5 linked regions of the Coturnix japonica genome follow. The protein of the gene in region 4 purifies or fractionates together with the protein of the main gene of each other region. This does not show direct contact. Links are inferred from orthologs where the notes say so. Each region holds a gene or a part of one and is shown on either strand. Other genes may lie near its edges.

What was found.
Region 1: the proteins of PRKAG3 (region 4) and PIP4P2 purify together in Homo sapiens (affinity purification with mass spectrometry; 3 studies listed by BioGRID and IntAct, with this or other methods). This does not show direct contact. The link is inferred for Coturnix japonica from reciprocal best matches to the Homo sapiens genes PRKAG3 and PIP4P2.
Region 2: the proteins of PRKAG3 (region 4) and PRKAA1 purify together in Homo sapiens (affinity purification with mass spectrometry; 3 studies listed by BioGRID and IntAct, counting the BioPlex papers as one, with this or other methods). This does not show direct contact. The link is inferred for Coturnix japonica from reciprocal best matches to the Homo sapiens genes PRKAG3 and PRKAA1.
Region 3: the proteins of PRKAG3 (region 4) and PRKAA2 purify together in Homo sapiens (affinity purification with mass spectrometry; 3 studies listed by BioGRID and IntAct, counting the BioPlex papers as one, with this or other methods). This does not show direct contact. The link is inferred for Coturnix japonica from reciprocal best matches to the Homo sapiens genes PRKAG3 and PRKAA2.
Region 5: the proteins of PRKAG3 (region 4) and PFDN1 purify together in Homo sapiens (affinity purification with mass spectrometry; 3 studies listed by BioGRID and IntAct, counting the BioPlex papers as one, with this or other methods). This does not show direct contact. The link is inferred for Coturnix japonica from reciprocal best matches to the Homo sapiens genes PRKAG3 and PFDN1.

The regions. Positions count from the first base shown.
Region 1 is NC_029517.1:112,956,169-112,960,144, forward strand, and holds part of PIP4P2 (type 2 phosphatidylinositol 4,5-bisphosphate 4-phosphatase), read right to left. Parts: intron 757-3,976; coding exon 608-756; intron 1-607. UniProt on the Homo sapiens protein: Catalyzes the hydrolysis of phosphatidylinositol-4,5-bisphosphate (PtdIns-4,5-P2) to phosphatidylinositol-4-phosphate (PtdIns-4-P).
Region 2 is NC_029547.1:11,813,427-11,817,888, reverse strand, and holds the start of PRKAA1 (5'-AMP-activated protein kinase catalytic subunit alpha-1), read left to right. Parts: upstream 1-1,503; 5' UTR 1,504-1,682; coding exon 1,683-1,812; intron 1,813-4,462. UniProt on the Homo sapiens protein: Catalytic subunit of AMP-activated protein kinase (AMPK), an energy sensor protein kinase that plays a key role in regulating cellular energy metabolism.
Region 3 is NC_029523.1:23,047,394-23,051,369, reverse strand, and holds part of PRKAA2 (5'-AMP-activated protein kinase catalytic subunit alpha-2), read right to left. Parts: intron 3,759-3,976; coding exon 3,671-3,758; intron 2,139-3,670; coding exon of another isoform or gene 2,090-2,138; exon of another isoform or gene 1,543-2,089; intron 1,527-1,542; coding exon 1,302-1,526; intron 1-1,301. UniProt on the Homo sapiens protein: Catalytic subunit of AMP-activated protein kinase (AMPK), an energy sensor protein kinase that plays a key role in regulating cellular energy metabolism.
Region 4 is NC_029522.1:24,310,328-24,315,077, forward strand, and holds the start of PRKAG3 (5'-AMP-activated protein kinase subunit gamma-3), read left to right. Parts: upstream 1-1,857; 5' UTR 1,858-2,074; coding exon 2,075-2,107; intron 2,108-2,853; coding exon 2,854-2,893; intron 2,894-3,108; coding exon 3,109-3,347; intron 3,348-3,432; coding exon 3,433-3,642; intron 3,643-3,759; coding exon 3,760-3,805; intron 3,806-3,908; coding exon 3,909-3,963; intron 3,964-4,071; coding exon 4,072-4,198; intron 4,199-4,289; coding exon 4,290-4,455; intron 4,456-4,539; coding exon 4,540-4,577; intron 4,578-4,650; coding exon 4,651-4,750. Other genes in the region: tubulin polyglutamylase TTLL4, read left to right, coding at 74-218. UniProt on the Homo sapiens protein: AMP/ATP-binding subunit of AMP-activated protein kinase (AMPK), an energy sensor protein kinase that plays a key role in regulating cellular energy metabolism.
Region 5 is NC_029528.1:15,558,081-15,562,712, reverse strand, and holds the start of PFDN1 (prefoldin subunit 1), read left to right. Parts: upstream 1-1,763; 5' UTR 1,764-1,855; coding exon 1,856-1,888; intron 1,889-2,060; coding exon 2,061-2,227; intron 2,228-2,988; coding exon 2,989-3,063; intron 3,064-3,184; exon of another isoform or gene 3,185-3,318; intron 3,319-3,350; exon of another isoform or gene 3,351-4,632. UniProt on the Homo sapiens protein: Binds specifically to cytosolic chaperonin (c-CPN) and transfers target proteins to it. Binds to nascent polypeptide chain and promotes folding in an environment in which there are many competing pathways for nonnative proteins.

The sequences.
Region 1 (3,976 bases), on a different chromosome or scaffold from region 4:
CCCTCAAAAAAAAAAAGAGGAAGTGAAAATTCTTCACAAGAACATTTTCAGTAACAAGAAATTCTGCAAACTAATGGGGAAAAAAATGCTTTTATATTTTAGTAATAAAGAACTCAAATCTTCAGCTTAGTTTTGAGAATTTGTGCTTAATATATTGACTATATCCCACTAGTTAAGTCTCCTTGCCTGGTATGATGGCTTTATTCAGAAGCAAAAGAATCAAAGTCTGGCTCTCAGTCAGAAACAGAATATGCAGAACCATCAGCTTGCTTTAAAATGTATTGAAATCACCTTCCTTGAACCTGACAGGCAAGTTTCTGGAGCCCTTTAATACAGTCACAAGCCTCAGAAGCTGAACAGCACTGTGGCCTGCATTACTATCTATCAGATAACCCAACAGAGCTAACTAGACAGAACAGAAAGATTTGCATTGGCTGCATAAGAACAGATTGATTGTGCCAGAAGCAAACCAGGTGCACCAGCAGCAACAGGCCCTCAATGGTGATGTCCATCAGCAGCTCACTCTGTAGGTGAGGACATAAATTCTATGTTCAACCTCCCACCACTTCCCCCCACGGAAAGAAAATGCTAAAAAACCCATTTTTACCGTAGCTTCATTGCAAACTGTGCATTTAACAACATGCTGGTGTAGCTTGCCATCCAAATTGATTAGTGACTGGCACACACGGCAGTTTATGACAGGAACACCACTGGCATCTGGACTCGCAATGGCAGTATATGGAGGTGGGAGCTCTGCTGCAAGAGATCATGAAATCTCAGATGGAAAACCAAACACGGCATCCTAAAACAGTCAGCAACCATAGCCACCAACAGCCACAGCCTCAAAGAAAGAAAAGTAAAGGGGAAAAAAATGTTGATGTTAACTACTGATATCCACATTAGATAAATCTAAGTTTACTTTGCGCTCCCCTCCCCCCCCCCCCCCCCCCCCCCCCCCCCCCCCCCCAACAATCTTCTGTGCAACATTATGTACATCAATCATAGTTCTACATAGAGCATATCAGCAACATAAAAACACCATAATTCATCCCAGAAAGGCAGGTCAGATGAAAGGCTCATCCATGCAACTCCATTTCATTTTCAAATCAGCCTTTTAGGAGTAAAGAAGGGGGCAAGGGAGAAACATGGATTAGCAGAATCCAAGGGTGGCTTCTGATGATAATCAGAAGAACAGACACAGCCTGGGTAGACAGAAGAGCTCATTCCAGGGTTGCCAACCACAAGAACAAGATGCCAGGGCCCCATCCAACCTGGCCTTGAAATGAATTAAACCTTCAGAGCATCTTCTTTGAAGAGTCCCAGAAATTTCTGCTGACCAAAAGCCAACACAAGGACACACAAGGTTTTCATTTACAGACCAGTACCAGCGAACATAACTGCCCTGTCCTCCTGTGGCAGGGCTAATTTCAGCACTGCCAGCCTCAAACACACAACAAAGAAAGGAGGAAACATTTCAGATCCTTCTCAGTTTAAGAATTCATGGAATGAAAACAATTCCACATAAACTCTCACAAGCTTATTACTGCAATTATTTGGCATGTATTACCAGTGGGTTTTATTTCATCATGTTCTTCAGGTAAGCAGATAAGGAATGGGCACATTTAAGTAGTTAACTTTTTCTGCTATTTTAAAATACTCTGGTAGCCTTGAACATCAAGAAATTATATCATGATTACGCCCAAATGGTCAACAAAGCCCTCAGAGAAGCAACAAGATATCAGCTTTCTTCCAGTTTACAAAGCATTATTATCTGCTGAGGTGGGGAAAAATCTCTAGCTACTACCAAAAGCAACAAGCCCAAGCAGTACATTTAGGCCTATGAGGATACGCAGATCGTTCCTTCACTCAATTTTAATGTGAATGTTGTAAACTGGAGGGATGTAAGAGGCTGTAAGATCCAAAATATCACAGAAAGACCTGGGTTGGAAGGGACCTCAAGGCCCTGCCTGGCAGGGCCACCAAACATACACCTTTACTAGATCAGGTTGCCCAGGGCCCCGTCCAACCTGGCCTTGAACACCTCCAAGGACGGGGCATCCACAACCTCCCTGGGCAGCCTGTTCCAGGGCCTAACCACTCTCCTAGTAAAGAACTTACCCCTAACATCCAACCTAAATCTTCCCTCCTTCCACTTGGATCCATTTCCCCTAGTCCTGCTATTGTCAGCCCTTTCAAAGAGTCTACTCCCCTCCTGGGAGTAAGTTCCCTTCAGGTATTGAAAGGCTGCAATGAGGTCACCCCGCAACCTTCTCTTCTCCAGGCTGAACAAACCCAACTCCCTCAGCCTGTCCTCATAGGGGAGGTGCTCCAGCCCCCTGATCATTTTCGTGGCCCTCCTCTGGACCCTTTCCAAAATCTCCATGTCTTTTTTGTACTGAGGGCTCCACACCTGGACACAGTACTCCAGATGGGGCCTCACAAGAGCCAAGTAGAGAGGGACGATCACCTCCCTATCCCTGCTGACCACCCCTCTCCTGATGGAGCCCAGGATACCATCACAAAACTTCTAAGCTTCACCACTGCTTGGCTCTCTCATTCGGCTACTTGGTACCCAAACAATCCAGATCGATACCTGACTTAACTCGCAGGCAGCAGAAGACCAGTGGATATCTTGAGAGCCTCAGAACAGACTTAAATTATTTCAGATGAGAGGCAAAATTCACTTACGTGCAGCAATGCTTCATAACTACAGAAAGAGAACCTCACACCTACAGCTTTGATGCTGTGGTTGCAGAAATCAACATCCTTAAGAAAAAAAAAACAGTAGAACTTCCAGTTCTATGCTGATTTTTCTTCCCTGTTTCTGTGGACTGGTAGCACCCAGCTGAAAATGGTCAGGGATAGGTGTAGTTTGAAGTATCATCATACTGTGCTTTCAGTACAAGACTACCACACACAGCGGAAGAAATACAAATGACAAACATCAGCAGCAAAACACAGGAAAACAAATGGGAGCAAAACAAACACTCACCCACCCACAGCACACACAAAAAATCCCACACTTTGCCAACCACAAACAATCTCAAGCCCAGCAGATCACCACACTAGCAGAAAACAGTTTTGAAACGTGGACAACTTAAAGAGCAAGATCTTGGCTGCGAGAGTCCAAGCTAAGGTTGCTGCAGGGGGTTTCCTGGCTGTAAGCAGGCTGCTTAACTGCTTCTGCAGCCAGTAACTGATACACTCCCTGGTTACAAGAAAAAAGAGCCACAGAACAGAATGCACACCCAGCATGCTAAAACCAAACTGCAGTTCAATTCCAGCTCTCAGGTTACTTCTGTAAAGCAACAACCAGATTGCAGATCTTCTTGGCTTGGCTCTTTCAATTTACAGTGAGACATAACTCCTATCAGCTTGGTACAGGGCAGCTGTATTAAAGGTAGGCAAACAAGGGCATTATTATTATTTCTGTTCACCAGTAAATACATATCCCCAAGCGTTTCAGCCTTCCACAATCCTGGAAGACTTTAAGACTGTGTCTTCTTTGTAAGAAACAACTCTAGATTTTGAAAGCTAATCAGGTAAGGTGTGCAAGTACACAGACAACCAATTTTCCAACATCACACTGGAGCTGCCTGGCTTCCAGGTAAGCTGCCTCTTCATTCCTGTGCTGCTGTCTCAGCAGATTTACAACAGCAGGCAATAATGGCTGCTTCTCAGAGTGGTGCTGCTACATCTGCTACAGAGCAGAAAGCCAGAAGTATCTTGGCACTGCAACATTTGTGTTTAAAGAAGAGACTTCAGAACGGCTCCCATAAAAACAACTAGCAAGGCCCTCCAGAATTAAGTGTAAAGAGAAATAGAGGAAAGCTATAAAGGGAAATAAAAGAACCATCTCCAAGTTTGCTGCTCCATATCCCTTAATAAAAATGCTGGCCACTTCCAAAGCACATTAACATATGTACTTGATATGACCTTTTTGGTTTTTGTTGTTGGTTGTTGTTTCTTAACAGCT
Region 2 (4,462 bases), on a different chromosome or scaffold from region 4:
GTTTTGAGCTGTTGTTTGTAATAACATAGGAGAAAGAGAAGAGTGCAGCCTTCTTAATATTGCTAGGAACTAAGGCCTATAATGCTCTAAATTTTCTTGAGAATTTGACATGTAATCCATTCTGTCAACAACTAAGGAACAGTTTGGGAAATTATTTTTAGCAATTTTGTCAAATATCTCCATTCTTACCATACACTTCTCTCATGTCCAGGAAATACTGGTAGACTATTTCAGGTTTTTTGCTCCAGTATTTGCAGCTGTCACCTGTTTCACGTGCAAGTGAGCAGCATTAAATTCTTGCAGCCAAACATTTGCATTTCTTCAGCTTTTATCAACTAGTCGTGATTCTCTCATGGTTTCTTCCTTGGGTGTTTCTCAGATGAGAGTCTACCTTCTGTGAGAGTGTTTTCAAAATACAATGTCTACCCCTCGTGCTTACTCTTCTGCTGTTGGAGATGGGATAAAATGTCATACCGTAAAAAGTTTATATAAACATCAAATACCTTGTAGTGTCAGTACTTTGAAAGCTGAGGCTTCACTGGATTACAAAAAAAAGTACATTAGCACCATGCTTGTACTTGCTAATAGCTCTGAACTTCTGCTTTTCCTTAAGGATAGGGGATGCCATTTACAATTATGCAGAACAGAAGGAAATCACATGGGTACAGATGGGAACAAAGCCTGATGCTTGTTCTTTTCCTCCCCCAATGCAATGTGTGCCTGAGGATTTGTTAGGAGCTGATGGGCCCTGCTGCAGAAGACAGGAGGTTCTGCTGCAGAGCTCAAAACTAGAAAAAGAGCAACAACCAATTTTCTTCACTTTCTATTCTTCTTTTCCAGTTACAAGGACAAAACAAACAAACAAACAAAAAGACCATAACAATGTAATTGAAGCACTGAACATGAGCTGTAATAAAAAGTAGAATTTCTGTCTTTAGACAGTATCCAAAGGGAGTTTAGATAACATCCCCGAGTTCAGAAGTTGGCACCTTTACACATTAACAGGGGATTACTGAGGACTACTAATACCTTTTTGTCCTGCATCGTATAACATCTTTTATATGTTTGCGCATGTTAAAGAGTTTACATGTCATGTAGTGCTGGCTGAAAGAATCTCATTTTCTCAAACACGATCCTCATGAAAATGCTTGAAATTCAAATTCTAAATTACTCAAAAATCATTAGTTTTATTTTCCTTGCTTTGACTGTTTTACCATGTAAAATGTTACTTGAATGATACACAAATTTTAGCAGGGTGCATATTAAAGTAGTACCTACGATTTTACTGGCCTATGTTTTGCCATTGGCTGAACAAATGACACCCTCACCATCTTTGCATCCCTCCTGTGGACCACGGTGTGGACCAAGCAATTGACACTCTTCTAATTCCATCTGTTTATTTGAAGGCAGGATTGGAAAGCAACTTGAAAATAATATTTGCAGGCAAGAACAGCTGTTGGTCTGCAGTATGTAGGAAGCGGATCCAGGCAGGGCAGCAAGCAGGTGAAAGAAGAGGACATCTCCCACAGCACTCAACCCGGAAGGATTATCTCGCACCGCCGGAGCCCGAGTAGCAGAAATGGTTGGCGGGGGCGGAAAGCGGCAATAGAGGAATAGTGTCTGAGTTCCGGGGGCCGGCTGCGTGCCGGAGCTCCTCCTCGCCGGAGGCCCCGTCCAACACCATGCGCAGACTCGGCTCTTGGCTCAAGATGGCGGCGGCAGATAAACAGAAGCACGAGCACGGTCGAGTGAAGATTGGGCACTACATCCTGGGTGACACGTTGGGAGTCGGCACTTTCGGCAAAGTCAAGGGTGAGCTGTTGCGCCGTCTATTCCATTTGGGTCGGGGCTGGGGCAGGTTTCCCGCTGGGACCCTCGCTGGGGTCGTACGGGGGCTGCTGGGGCCCCGGCCGGAGGCTGGGCACTGTCAGGCGGAGAGCCGGGCGCTGTGTCGCGGGGTGCCACAGGGCTGAGGGCTGGGCTCCGGGTCCCGGCTCGTATGGCCGCGTTTGGTAGCTCTGGCTGTGAGGGGCGGCCTGGCCATGGAGGCGGCAGCGGGCATGGCTGGGGCGGGGCGGGGCGGCTCTCCGGACGGGGGATTTCTCTTCCGCGTTGGCAGACATCGTTCCTGGAGAATTCCTGCGTGCGAGTGTGATCGCATCTGTAACGGAGGTGGCCGACGTTCAGGCACACCTGCCCGCGGGATTGCGTTTTGTCCCTCAAATATTTGCCGCCCTTAAAAGGTCAGCGAGCTTTCTTGCTTCGCAAAGGGCAGAGCATTAAACCAAAAAAAAATCCTGAAATTATTTGACTAACGAGCTCAGCTGCTGACACAGCTGTGTGGGAATTCTTAGTGCTGAGGCTGGTGGTAACTGAAGTTTCTCTACAGCTCTCAGCTCAGTTGGTGGTGAGAGATTATGGTATAAGAAAAAGCTTGTCCCGTTTTTATTCAGCTAGGATTTTCCTGGAGTTTGTGTGATGTGGGTGGCTTTGCCATGACTTCAGCTGATGCGGAGCTCATTTCCTTCATAGTATCTGCTATGATGCCATGTTAAATCAGGTTAAACCATGACAGTCTTCTTGGAAGAGGGTGTTTAATGGCAGTGACAACCCCAGAAATCAAGTGGAAAAGCAGATTTGTGAGTAACTATCAAAGGTTTCCCGCTGTTCAGCAAGCTGTCAAATTAATTCACCTTTTCACTTGGTGTTTTAATATCACAGATTGTTGTTGCTGATCTGATGTTTTGCCCATGTAACTCTTAATTTGGCTCTATAATCCTGACTTAATTACTGACTTAGTTCATCTGTCTATCTCTCAGATAGGCATTCATAGAGAAGACAACTGGTTCTAGCATTCTTTTTTGCCTTTCATGTCCAGGCATAGCAAAAGTATCACTGACATGAAAGGTGAAAAAGACTGCTGGAAGTAAATGAGTTTTGTGAAGTACATTCTCACTTCAATTGTACAAGCATTTGGCATATAACACTTATTCTGACCTCAATGACTTTGGATGTTGGGCAAAGCTCTTTACAGAGGGAGTGCTGAGAACAGGCTGCTCAGGTTGGTGGTGGGTGCTCCATTCTTGAAGGTGAACATCTTCAGACCCAGGTTGGGTGGAGCATCTAGTTCCAGACCTGGAGGAGGTTGGTGGCCCTGCCTGTGGAAGAGAGGTTGGAACTTGATCCTTAGGGTCCCTTTTGACCCAATCCATTCCATGATTACTATTATAGTGTTGCCTTTTGAAAAAAAATGGTCATACCTTCTGCTGAATCCAAAAGCAGAATTTTATTTCCAAGTGTTTCAGATGGTTAGATTTCATGAAAAGAGGAGTAGTCAGACGTCTGGTAATTTTTAGTGAAACTGAGTATACTGTTTGTGATTGTAGATACAAAATGTTTGTCCAAGCCTTGAAAACAAGGCTAAGAACTGTGATCTGCAAAAATGATTTAAACAGGCCTTGATGAAATGTGGAGGGGAATAGTGAATGTAAGTTTGCTCTCTGTTGTCTATGCACAGCATTAGCTGCTGTTTTTGCTGTTTTAATTAATTAATTAATTTATTTTTCCCAAGTTAGTAACGATATTATCTTAATTTTAAAGAGTGCTGCTCTCTACTGAGCCTTGGCTTGGATTGTTTGTTTCTGTCAGTGTATTTGTTTACACGTAGTCATAGAATCATTAAAGTTGGAAAAGACCACTAAAATAATCTAGTCCAGCCATCAAATGGGGCAACATAAGAGTCTGCTCCTGCCACTAAATTTCACCTTCTGTGGTCTCCTGCGTCAAAGATCTTGTAAGTCTAATGCTTGTGGTATGGCCAAGTGAGGGCCACCCTGCAAGTGCCAGGTCTGCTAGACTGAGGCTGTATAACTTCATGTGATTTAATAAAGCCCAGGGTTTAGTGAGAGCCCCCTCTGCACTGCACAGCTGTGTATTTCTGTTGCTTGTACCTCCAACTGCCTTCCCATTGCAGAGGGCATCCAAAGAGATGCCTCCTCAGTGTGCCCATAACTGGTACCTACATCTCATAAGGACGTCATATTTCCTGTGGTTTGGGGTTGTTTTTGCCAGTATAAGGCTTGAATTTAGACAAATGTTTCTGCACTTAAGCAATTGAAATTGTTGCTGAGGTTGTTGCAACTGTGTCTTTGAAAACTTGTTGCTGTGCCTTCAAGTTTCAATATGACTATGCAATTTGTATTAGTGATAGAACATGAGGAAATGGTATCAGGTTGCACTGAAGAGGTTTGTATAGGATATCACGAAGAATTCCTTCCTTGAGAGAGTGGGCAAGCATCAGAAAGGGTTGCTCCGGTGGAGATCCCATCCTTGCAGGTATTTAAGTGGATGTGCCACTAAGGGACATAGTTTAGTGATGGACTTGATAGGTCAGGTTGATAGTTGGATCTGGTGATCTTGAAGTTTTTTTTTTTTTTCTAGACTAAATGATTATCAACCTAGA
Region 3 (3,976 bases), on a different chromosome or scaffold from region 4:
GCCAACATCAGCCACACCACTTCATAGAGGAATCATGGAATATCCTTTGTGGAGCTGTAGCCACCACAAGGCCTTCCCTCAGCCTTCTCTGCTCTGAGCTGAACAAACTACAGGGCCTCAGACACTCTGCATACACCTTTCCCCCCAGACCCTTCACCATCTTTGCAGCCTTCCTTTGGATGCTTTCTAATATCCCTATGTCCTTCTTATATTTCAAAGCTAGCCAGGCCCACTACTCCCACCAGTTCACAATGAAGTCAATGGTAATTAAGCAGGTAAATGCCAGTGCAAGCCTCAGCTATAGGTGCCACCTATCAATGGTAATCTTGGCATGCATGCTGTTGCTCTAACATACAATTAAATCTCCTACTCTTCAGGACTCGTGAAGTTTAAAAGGCATTTATAGTTCAGATCCTATTTGAATGGTTAAATTCAGGCCATCAATTGCAAAAGTATTAACAATCCATTATGTCCTGTAAGTACTTGTGATGTTTATGCATATGCTTAGCACACCAGCTACATGTAATCACAGAACCATAGAAGTTGGAAGGGAGCTCTGGAGATGATCCAGCCCAACCCTCTGCTAAAGCATGTTATAGTAATGGCTACTATAAATTCCACAAAATACATATGGGACTCCACTTTCACAAGATAAATATTTAAAAAATTACTCAGTTTGTGAAACATTCAAAGCCCTGTTGCCAGTTACAAACATGTCACGATATCTGAAGGCACAAATGCCTACTTAAGTGCCCAATTGTTCCCTTTCATGGGTAGTACAGCCATTGACTACAGAAGAAATGCCTCATTTAAGGACATTTGCTGACATTTTAAACTGTGACTAACATTTTAGCTAGTAATTCTTGTGTTCCACTTCCTTTTTTATCGAATAGACAGCAAGTGCAATGACAACACTTTTATTCTAAACAGCTACCAAAGAGAGATGTGCTTGAAATAAAGTACTGAAAAATAGCTGGCCAATATAGAGTTCTTAGGAATACTGTGTGAGAGCTGGTTATGTTAAGCACTACTAAGAGATTTTTGAGGCTATTTTATAATGTATGAAGATAGAATTATCTGTATATAAGTTGCAGGAAGCTACCTATTGCCTATTTTCACTTGAATTAGTGAAGCCACTGAGAAATGAAGTCGCCAATCCCACATTCATCATCACCCACCACCAGCTGGCAGCACTTGCCTCACCATTGGCACAGAAGAGTTCAGGCGGGCTCCTTAAATCCCTTAGGACCAAACTCAGCTGGATTAACTGGCAACTCCTACAAACCACGCTGTGGGCTGACCTGATGTCCTTGATGGTTGCACGCTTGAGAGGGTCAACCTGCAGCATGTGCATGAGCAGAGTGGCAACGGAGCGATTGAGGTACTCGGGGATGTAAAACACACCTCCCCGGATCTTCTTGAAGAGGGTGGGCACGTGCTCATCATCAAAGGGCAAAGTGCCACAGAGGAGGGCATAGAGGATGACACCGCAGCTCCAGATGTCCACCTCTGGGCCAGCATACAGCCTGTGTGAAGCAGAGGAGGAGAAATGGGTCACAACCCTTCCTCTATTCCTCTCTGCATCCTTGGGCTGCCTAAGCCAAAAACCTACTCGAGGGTGATGGGGAATGACGCAGAGCTGCTTTTAGTTGATCACGCTCCTTCGTGATGCATGAAACAGGAATATGAGCAACTCCACCAGACCCAACAAAAAGCCCAAATCTACATTTCCAGGAGCTCTGCCAGGCTGCTTGCTTCCTTGCCCCCGAGGCTGGGGGACTCAGCCAGCAGTTTCTATTCACTCAGAAGCAGATTAAACAGCAGCAGATACTATATCTCTTGAGTGTTTATTTTCAGTTGAAGTTTGTGTGCTGGTATGCAAGAGCTCCAGCTTCCGACAAGCTGTTAATGTGCTTCCTGGCATCACCAAGTCAGGATACCCCAAATATATGGGTTTTGCTGCTGCTGCTTGCCTGCTTGATTTGTTTGTTCATTGGTTTTTGCTGAAACTGCTGATTTCTCAGAGATTCTGGGAGTCAGTGACTACTCTTGGACTGTAAAATCCAATACAGAGGTCTGTTCATGAAACCTAATCGTCCTGCACTTGCTCCTCTTGAAAAGTTCTGCTGTAGACACACCTGGTATAAAAAAAAGAACCAGCCATGCACACTGTCATTCTATGAATGCTACCCAGGTAACAAAATACCATTTCTGAGCTCATGCTTGAGACTTCTCCCATGGAGAACAGTGACAGCAGCAAAGTCAGGGCATTCCGCTAATGCAATCGGCTCCAAGTCCCCACAGTCTATGTCTGATTCCAACAGACAGGATGTCTATTTTTTGGCTGATAGCCACATTGTTTGAACCGTGCTTGGACTTTTAAACCCAAATGAGGTTCACTTTCATGATGCTGAAACACAAGGTCTCACATAGTGCACCGTCTCTGGGAGGAGCTCAGCTATATCCACCTCCAGCAGCACATTCACCCCTGGTGGAAATGGCAGGTTGTTCCTCTCTGTCTCCTATATGAACTGAAAAAAATATATATGTGGTTTTGGCCTTTATTACAAAAAAAAATATGGGAATAATATTTTTTTGAATCACTGTCGAGTTTCTGGCTTTGTGCCCCTCTTGAAAATGAGGATTTACTTGCTTTCATATGTAGAACCATAGTCACAACAGGCTTTTTGGATGCTGGTCTAGTTCCTAGGATACTCTGCCAACACACGCGCCTGTGTAAACAGGCATAAAACAGTCATCATCACAACATTAAACAAAAGGTTGGGTTTGAAAGCTATAGGCAGAGACATACCAGATTATGAAAAGTAGCTCTCATGCAAAGGATGGTTCAAAAGGATGGAGTGGATGCTAAGGTTATGGGCAGTCCAAAGGAACACGCAGAGGACTGTAAATTCAAAGATCTGTATTTGTAAACTGCATTATGCTTTTACAGAGGAGAATTAGGGAATTCAACGTAATTCAGGTTCTCAACAGTAAAACATGGGAAGTGGCATGACCGTATCAATGGGGCAAGACTGAATTCAGCCCTAGAGCCTGTGTTCAGAATGCCCTGTTCCAAACAGCTGCTGCAGCCAGTCAGGACACAGCTGAGAGATGCCACTGCTCTGCAGTTCTGTCAGTTCAATTCATCAGTTCAAGACAAAGCTACCACCACTGAACCCGCTGGCATGAACATAAGCCTGAGAGTTAAGGGACCCAAAGACAAGGATTTTCAATACAAGGGTCTAGCAGTGTAGGGAAGTGATTAAGCAGAATATTGATTGCTCGCTTAATGAGTGGTTTTCTCATTAACACTGTGTTTTACATAGGTGGGCAGGAGAGAAAGGGGTGGCCTGGAAAAGCCTATCTTTCTGAAACCTCAGTGACTGCATCCAAAGAGTAATTTTCATTCCCTTTAATTAGCAATGTACACAGTAAACATCTGCTGTTAATAATTCCTCCAAAGTAAACATCTTTAGCAAAACATGTTTTGCTAGTACAGACATTGAGAAATACAACGAGCAAGAAGACCTTCAGATATTTCCAGCAGACTCACCCAGGCACAAAACACCGGCTGGAACCACTCAGCTGCTTTATTACAAGCTGGTTCCAATCCCAAGAGCAAATTTAAAGACCACATACTCACATGATTGGAAGTGGCATGTCCTACCTTCCAGAGATGACTTCAGGGGCTGCATAATTTGGGGAACCGCAGCTGGTGCGTAGAAATTCACCATCAGACATCATGTTGGACAATCCTAAAAACAAGGTGTTGGCTACGTATTGACATCCAGACAGGGAGAAGAGATACAGCAAGCAGAGGGGGAAATCTGATGTAATCTAAGTAGACACCTTTGAACCACTTTGCAATTACAGCTCTCATTTTCTTTCCAAACTAGTATTACTGACTCCGAGCTAACTTTGCTTCTCTGAGTTGCAAACCTCAGAACCTTTCTTCTCTACCATAGAAGAAAAG
Region 4 (4,750 bases):
CCCAGGCAAGAATGTGGTTGGGTCTTCATGCAGCCAGGGAGACCAACCCCTGACCCTTTTATTTCTCCTGCAGCAACTTTCTGTCACCAAACAATGGAGACCTCGTGAGATGCCTGGAGCCCAGCCCTGCTCAGAGCTTACCTCTCAACAAATGCACTGCTGGAGCTGACCAGAAACCTGATGGCTGCCTCTCAGGCACCGCTGCCCTGGTGCAGTGAGCAGGCAGCTGCCTTCCCTCCCTGGGGACACCTCAACCTACCTCAAAGGAAGAGACAGAAGCTGGTTCTGGAGCACAAGTCCTGTGGAGCTCCCTGCACTGCACTCTTGCCCGTGGGCTGGTCCTGGAGAGAGCCGTGTGATTCAGTTTTTAGAAATGCCAAAACCTGGCCAAGTTGGATTTGTTACTGTTGTTCAGGCCTGATGCGGTGATGGTTTCCTTGTTGGTGTAGGATTTGGATGAGCTGGGAGGCAGCTCCCTCTCTCCTTCCCTCACCAGTATGGGTTGAACCCCTCCTTGCCTGTGTTGCTTTGCACTAACCCTGAGCCCCAGAGAGCCGGCAAAGTTGTCTGCTCTTCTCTTACTGCAGGCCAAGGCAGGGGAGGACCAGCTACCACTCTGCTGTTCTGGAAGGAGCAGGGCTTGGGCCTTTCAGCCCATGGGTTTTTATTCTGAGTACTTGTGCCCGCATCCTCTGGCTTCTGCCCACTACTGGGGAGGGAGCAGCCCTTCACTGCAGTTGGCTCTGCGGTGCTCTGCAGTGTGCACACTGGAGATGGGTGCTACTCTCCTGTTCTATTTTTCCCCTTCGTTTCTCAAGATGTTTCCATTAAACTTTTGCACATAGCTGCTCTTGTGTCCTCTCTGTCTCATCACACCTGGTGGCCCCTTCCATGATGAAGGCGCAGTGGGTTCTCGGATGGGGTGCTGTGGGGCTGGTGCTTGCAGAAAGCCCTTCCCTCTCCTTTCCCCTCAGCCCCCCATGCCCGCAGCAGGCCCTGTTTTCTGGTCTCCTTGGTGACAATCTCATCGCTCCTCGGCTTCTCTCCAGCACCTGAAAATAGCCACCGAAAGTGGAGATGCCTGCTGCCAGCACTGCTGCCGTGGCCAGGCTGGAGCCAGGCCGCCCCGCTTGGGGCTGGACGCCTACATCTGCAGGCCAGTATCACACACAGTGAGGCAGCCTGGGGGGGACCCTTGTGCCACCCCAGCGCCACTGGCTCATCCCCAGCCCTGAGTCTCCAAGCTCATACCTCCTCTTTTTCTCCCTGCCTTTGCTGTAGCTCTTGGAGTAACTCTTTGCTCCTCACACCCCATACAAAGGCATGGGGGTGCTTGCAGCCTCCCCTGCATCTCAGGGGTATTTTGGGAAGCTGTCGGCTGTGATATAGAATCATCTGCCTGGCACCCTTGTGGGGGCCTGTGGCCCTGCTCCCTGCCATGACCAGGGTCCAGCTGTCCCCTGGGGTGAGCTTGAGCCACCCTGTCTCTATGGCCAGCCATGGGTCCGCTCGCCCACGGCCACTCTGGGGCTGGCCCGGCAGCAGGCCAGGGTGATATTTGAACCTTCCTGAAATAGAAATGAAGCTGGGAGCAAGCATGGGGTGGGAGGGGGTGGCCCATTGGGGTAAGGAAAGAGGTTTTGGGGCTGGTGACATGAGATCTGGGGGCTGGGAATAGGCTGGATGGCAGCAGGACCCCAGGATGGGCTGTGGCATGGGGACAAAGTGCCCAGCCAAGCTGTCCCAAGCTGTGCTGGCTGCCACTTCACCATCCTGCCGTACATGCAGTGCTGTACCCCTGCTCCTGGTGGGGCCGAGTCCCACTCTGGGTGGTACAGACTTGGTGGGCTGGGGATGGCTTTTCCTCCTCTGGCCATCCATCCATCCATCCCCTGTGTCTCCAGGTGCAGCAGGTGCCGCAGGCTGAGACAGCAGGGTGACGCTGTGGGTGCTGCCTGGTGGCCGTGGCCCCCCCGCATTGATGGGGGCATGGCTGGCATTGCTGAGTGACACCCTATCTGCCAGGCCCCGGCCAGCCGCAAGCCCAGAATAGCAGCGCTGTCCTGCAGTCAGCATGGAGCAACTCTCCAGCCCCGCCGCTCCCCAGGTACCCTCAGGACGGGTGGGGGGCCAGGCTGAGTGGCCCCCACTTGGGACCAGCCACGCTGGGTGGGGGGTTGGCGGCATCTTATGGCTGGATCAGTGTGGGGACAATGACACAGGGCACAGTGTGATCCGCCTGCCTGCCCCAGCTGCTGGGGAATGATTGGGGTGGGGGGCATTTGTTTAAGGTCACCTCCCTGCCAGGGCAGCTCTGACCTCCTTAGAGAGTGATCCATGCGGCTTTGTTGCTTTAGGGTGGCATGTAAACATTGGCTCTGCTGCCAGCTCAGCCTGTGCTGCGTGCTGCTTTGTTATGGTAGGGTCTCCTGGGGGACTGGTGGGGGTACGAGGCCAACGGGCTGGTTATGATCGTCTCCCCTCCTGCCTGGGCTGCCCCTTTGTTATTGTAGGGTCTCCCAGCCTGAGGCTGGGCATACCTAGCCCCGTGTGGCAGGTGGGGCTGGCAGGGCTCTCAGCATCAGAGGAAGCTGGAGTGGGATTTACACCTTGAGGACCGGAGGAGGGAAAGGAAGGGCATGGGGTTGCCTCGGCTGGGATAGTGACAGGAGCGCTGTGTGTTCTGGCATCCCACGCCTTGCACCTGGGATTCTCCTGGAGCGGACGACTGTCCCAATGGGGCCTATGCTGGCAAGGAGCAATCTGGGGCTGCACCCTGGGGGAACCAAGCAGTGAGGTGGGGGCAAGGTGGGCTGGCTGCTGCTGACCCCCCACCTCTGTATGTCCCTGCAGATGGTGCTGCTGGATGCTGCTGCCTGCCCTGTGGAGAAAGGTGGGTAGCAGGCAGGGGGAAAAGCAGCGCACAAATAGATAGCAGGTGGGGCTGGCTCACTCATGCAATGAGTGCATAAGCCCTTGGCTTGCTTGGGAAGCCGACGTCACCCCACTTGGCTCTGCAGAGTGGGCTCTGGGGGTTCTGCTGGCCCCAGCAGCATCCCCTGGTGTGGGGGCACTGAGAGCCGGCAGCTCAGCTCATTACTGGGGCAGGTGTGCCCACAGGGTTCCCAGAGGCACTGCATCCCAGGGGGGAAGAAAAGGAGGAGGAAAAGCAAAAGGGCTCCAGGCCTGTCAGTTTCACTCTGGGCAATGAGATCCTGGGACTGGAGCCTGACAACAATTTCCAGACCCCTGATGCTGAGGTCTACATGCACTTCATGAGGAGTCACTGCTGCTATGACGCCGTCCCTACTAGCTGCAAACTTGTTGTCTTCGACACCACGCTGGAGGTGAGACCACAAGGATCACTGGGGACTAATTGAGAGTGGGGGGGTCCTCAGTGTTCTCCTGACCCGCTCCCTGCTCTGCTGGCAGATCAAGAAGGCCTTTTTCGCCTTGGTGGCAAATGGGGTGAGGGCAGCTCCGCTGTGGGACAGCAAGGTGCAGAGCTTTGTGGGTGAGTGCCAGGGCAGCAGAAGGACTGCTATGGGATGTGGGCAGAGTGGGCAGCCCCGTGTCTCCACAGGGATGCTCACCATCACTGACTTCATCAACATCCTGCACCGTTACTACCGCTCGCCCCTGGTGAGTGCTCCAGACTGTGAAGGGCACGGTCCTGCACTCAGGGGGATGGGAGGGATGCTGGGGAATGAGGCAGCCCTTAGCCATGCCATCCTGAGTAGGGCATCTCCCTGTCCTCAGGTCCAGATCTATGAAGTGGAGGAGCACAAGATTGAGACGTGGAGAGGTAGAAGCTGGGGGTGATGGGGAATGTCTGGGCTGGGGACATCATACTCAGTCTGGGGGTGGCTCTAGTGTGGGACACCACTTGCAGCTCTCTCCCTTTGCAGAGGTGTACTTGCAGGGCTCCTTCAAGCCACTGGTCTACATCTCCCCAAGCGATAGGTGAGCTCCTGCCCAGGGGGGAGATCTGGCAAGACCCCCAGCCAGGGGTGGGCACCATCTCAGGGCACCGGGGGGCTTCTGGGCACAGCCACATCCCCCCACCCGCAGCCTCTTCGATGCCGTCTACTCCTTGATCAAGCACAAGATCCATCGCCTGCCTGTCATCGAGCCCATCTCAGGCAACGTGCTGCACATCCTCACCCACAAGCGCATCCTCAAGTTCCTCCATATCTTCGTGAGTACAGGATGGAACAGAGATGGGTCAGCCCATCACTGCAGGGTGGGGTGTGTGCATGATGCGTGCTCACATGTACTGCCCGCTTCAGGGCTCCACCATCCCCAAGCCACGCTTCCTAAAGAAGACAGTGCAGGAGCTGTGTGTCGGCACCTTCCGTGACGTGGCCGTCGTGCCTGAGAATGCTCCCGTGTATGCTGCCCTGGAGATCTTTGTGGACCGCCGTGTCTCCGCGCTGCCTGTTGTTAATGCTGCTGGTATCTTATAGCTCCTACCCTATGCCAATCCCAACATCCCCTCCTAACATCCCCTCCTCACCCCACTGCTCTGTCTCCTTGCAGGCCAAGTGGTTGGGCTCTACTCTAGGTTTGATGTCATAGTGAGTATTGAGTGTGTTCGCGTGGCCGTGGTGGCACATGGGAGCACATCCCGAGCACCACCATCCCTCTCAGCACCTGGCAGCCCAGAAGACCTACAACAACCTGGACATCAGCGTGCGGGAGGCGCTGCGGCAGCGCACCGTGTGCCTGGAGGGGGTCCTCACCTGCTACC
Region 5 (4,632 bases), on a different chromosome or scaffold from region 4:
TACTTTTTAGACGATGCACTAGCTGCATAGCCAGGCTCTTACCATTCCCTTGATCCTCTGTTTCAGGGCTCGGCACTGATGCAGTTCTACCTCCTGGAAGATGTGAGCCATGGAGCCAGCACTGTCCCTGGGACCCTGAAGTGCAGCAGGATGAGGCTGCATCAGGGTTTACCTGGCAGCTGTGCCTCTGGAGGGAGCTTTGGTGGCCTCCAGATGGAGGGGGCTGGGAGCGATGCTCTCGTGCAGGCTCTGAGCCAAGCCGGCTGCATGGGACTCTCCAGCAGCTTGGGGCAGCCCCTGCAGTGTATGCAAGGGGACGAACTGTGAAAGGCTGGGAGAGCAGGCTCGAGGCTTCCGTGGGCACAGGAGGGGTGGGAGGGTAACAGCTATTTAACAAGAGAATGTTCCTTTTAAATTATATATTTATTTTAGATAAATTGTACATAGTATTTATATTTATTGGAGGTCTGCCTCTGTACCCTTTGTGTAACTCAAGATGACCCTTGTGTGGGTCAGACCTCCTTTATTTTTTAAGTGCAATGTAATATTCTAATAAATAACTTTGTAACAAACACGTGAGTTGTTGATTTAAGAGATGTGGGTCAGGTCTCCAAAGGGTACAGATAACAACTTGCCCTTTATGGTGGGGTACTAAAACTACCCAGGAGCATCTGTGGAGCAGCGGCACAGATCTCAAGCCTGCTGGCCTTGGGGTGCAGCAGGGATAATCCTGCTGGGGTACTCCCTGGAGGGGGGAGGGTTATGGGGAGCTGGGGTGTGGTCTGCCCTGCTCCTTGCCCTGGAACCTGCAGCTGTGGCAGCCCCGCGTGTTCTTGTATCTCGGCTGGCTCATGAATGGCTGCAATGCTTGGGTGAAGCAAAGCCACCTTGAGTTCAGCCACTGCAATCTAAATCCAGTGCCCAGCAGGGGCCTGGAGCAAGGCACTGAGCCCTGCCACCCAGCCTGCCTCCCTCGAGTGCTCCATCCCACTGCTGACACTCCTTGTGCCCCAGCACTGAGCCCTGCAACCTGCAGCACACCTCCTCCTCCACGAACACCGGCTGTTCTCCAGAGCAAGGCTCGTAGGCAGGCAGAATCTTTGGATTTAATTTAAAACCAAATCCAAACCAACACAGTGTGTTACAGCAGCCTGTTTGATAACCAAGTGTTGGTGCAGTGCAGTGCCACCATTGCTCACCTCACAGCCATGATCTGCATGGAGCAGAAGAGCTGCAGCACTGCAGGAGCGGAGCTCGGCCTGCGCTTCTGAGGGAGGCAGCCAAGGAGAAACCCCAAAGCTGCAGTGCTGCCTCCCTTTGGGAACAGCCACAGCCCCGCGGGTGGTTCCATTCCCCCCAGAGGAGCATTGGTGGGATGCTGTGAGGGCTGAGCACCTCCCCGATGAAGGCAGGCTGAGGGAGCCAGGCTTGTTCAGCCTAGAGAAGAGAAGGCTGTGGGGTGACATCATTGCAGCCTTCCAGCATTTAAAAGGGGATAATAAACAGGAGAGGAATCAGTTTTTTACTGGTGTGGACAGTGATAGGACAAGGGGGAAAGGTTTTAAGCCCAAGGAGGGAAGGTTTAGGCTGGATGTTGGGGGAAGTTCTACACATAGAGCGGGGAGGTGCTGGCACAGGCTGCACGGAGGGGCTGTGGATGCCCCATCCCTGGCTGTGTTCAAGGCCGGGCTGGATGGAGCCCTGTGCCATGTATCAGATATGGAGGTCGGTGGGCTGGAACCTGCTGCTCCTCGGCCCCCTCCCACCCCACCCCGCTCTAACCTCCATTCGGCCGCAGCCCGCTCCGCCCCGCCCTCCCACCGCCCCCACTGCGCAGGCGCCGAGCGTGGGGAAGATGGCGGCGCCCGTTGACTTGGAGCTGAAGAAGGTAACGGGTGTCCGGCTCCGTCCGACGTGTTTCTCGGGCCGCTGCTCCCCCTCCTCCCCCTCCTCCCCCTCCTCTCCCCGCAGTTTGGGCCGGCTCGGCCCGGCCGGGCGCCCCCCGCCCCTCTGCCCCCGGCCCGGCCGCAGCCGCTCGACGTGCCGCTCTGCCACCACAGGCCTTCACGGAGCTGCAGGCCAAGGTGATCGACACGCAGCAGAAGGTGAAGCTCGCCGACATCCAGATCGAGCAGCTCAGCAAGAGCAAGAAGCACGCGCACCTCACCGACACCGAGATCATGACGCTGGTGGACGAGACGCGCATGTACGAGGGCGTGGGCAGGATGTGAGTAGCGGCCGCACCGTCCCTGCAGAAGCAGGGATGCTGGGCTCCACGAGGAGCATCGGGGGAGCATCAGTGTGCACCCGGAGTATCGGTGTGCACCCGGAGTATCGGTGTGCACCCGGAGCATCAGTGTGCACCCGGAGCATCGGTGTGCACCCGGAGCATCGGTGTGCACCCGGAGCATCGGTGTGCACCCGGAGCATCGGTGTGCACCCGGAGCATCGGTGTGCACCCGGAGTATCGGTGTGCACCCGGAGTATCGGTGTGCACCCGGAGCATCAGTGTGCACCCGGAGTATCGGTGTGCACCCGGAGCATCGGTGTGCACCCGGAGTATCGGTGTGCACCCGGAGTATCGGTGTGCACCCGGAGCATCGGTGTGCACCCGGGCACGGTGCCCTGGGCAGCACCAGCGAGTGTGTGTCGGGCTGGTGGTGTCCACGTGCCTCAGCATTTGGAAGTGAGCACGAGGCTGATGCGCACTCGAGGAGCCGCCTGCCCGCGCTGGGTGGTGTCTCACACCTCACACCTGCAGTGATGCACCTGGGTTATTCTGGCAGCGCAGCTCTGACTGCAGCAGCCTCATGAAGTGCAACACACAAACTGGGTTCCAGTCTGACGTGTGTGCTGACTCACTGTGCCGTGCTAACTTTCTGTGTGTGCTTTTTCTCTTCCATTGTGAACTGGGCAACAGTGATGATTACGCTTATTCAGGGATGATGTTTTATAGAAGGTTGAATCTGATTTGATTGCTGCCCACAGGGCGATTGCATCTCCCCGCTCCCAACTCTCCTTTGTGCTGCAGCAGACTTGTAGCTGGTTCAGCCTGCTGTTGCGGTGAGTTCCTGGGCCTGATTCATGTCATCACACAATCTGTTGGGTGAGTCTTAGGGAGCTGCGGGCTGGGAAGCCAGGACTGGTATGTGGACTGCGCTTCACTGGTAGTTGTCAGGTAAGACCAATGGGAAAATGAAGCTGTGCCTGGGTTCATCCTGGGCAGCCTGATCTAGTATTTGGCAGCCCTGCCTGCCGCAGAGGGTTGAAGCTCAGTGGTCTCTAGGTCCTTCCCAACTGAAGCTCAGTGGTCTCTAGGTCCTTCCCAACTGAAGCTCAGTGGTCTCTAGGTCCTTTCCAACTGAAGCTACTCTGTGATTTTGATGGGGGGGTGTGTAGCGTGACAGCCTTCTTTGGACCACTGTGGAATTACTCCTGTTAAGTTTTCCAAGCAGATGAACTTGGGTTTGTGTGGAGCTGCTGATGATGTTGAAAGGAGATAGAATTTGCAGATCTCTTGCAGGAGATAGCTGATATGACCCAGGCAGGCTGTAGGCTCATTGTTTTTGTCACAGAAAAGACAAACTAAGAGATTCTGGAAGCAACAATTTTTCTTCAAATTTTTTTTTATTTTTTTATCTTTAATCTTAAAGCAGGGTATACTTCTCCATTATGAAATAATTCCTCAAGATTCTTTGAAAGCATCAATATATCAGCCTTCATTGTAAAATGTTGGTTGTGAATGAGATAATGTTTCTGTGCTAACTGAAAAGTACTGTCCTGCTTTCAACCCAGCTGCTGGAGTCCAGTCTTTTTGAGACTGTACTCTTGCTTACCTTCATGTGACCGGGCAGGTGGTTCAGACTCTGCTGTGCAGCACTTTGCTCCTCAGTGATGGTAGAAAAATACTATCTGCATGATATTAGTCTTCAAATGTTTGAAGTGTGAACTCTTTGCGGGTTCTGTTGTCCTAGTCACTATGCAAATTCAGGTTAAGAGTGCTCATGCTCTCCAAACTACTTATTCACTGATTTATTTTACTTTTATTTCCCCTTCCTTAGCTTACTGCAGTGTTTCTGTGAGTTATGCCTGATTTGGCCATGGGGCTTAAGTCTGCCTTTCAAATTAGTAGTTCTATTTGGGTAGAACGAGCTATTCCAGGACTTTGTGAAAACGGAGTGTTTCAGGAATGTGATGGTGTGCTGTATCCTGGGAAGAAGTCTACCTAGTTCCATACTTCTGCGCTACTTGTAAAGAATTATGTGGTTCCTGCTCTGAGCCCAGAGCCTGCTTCCTGCCCAAGAGGCTTTCCCTGAGCCACTGGCAAATGTGAAAGCCCATTTGTTGTTCCTAAACATTTACTGTAGCTAATTTTGGTTTAACACAACCATTGTCAGTGCCACATAGTATGAGGTGATGAATTGCTGTGTACTGTACATATCTGTTTGACTAGGATATCATCTGAGTAGTGGCACCGTGCCAAATACATTTTCATTCTCTTACTTCATGCTCTTTGAAAGGCTTGTTATCTAGCCTGAGACAACTACCACTGTGGTGGACTCCTGCTTAAGCTATTTGTGAACTGATATCATCGTGCTGCTTTGAGAACTATGCCGAAAGCTTAAGCTTCAG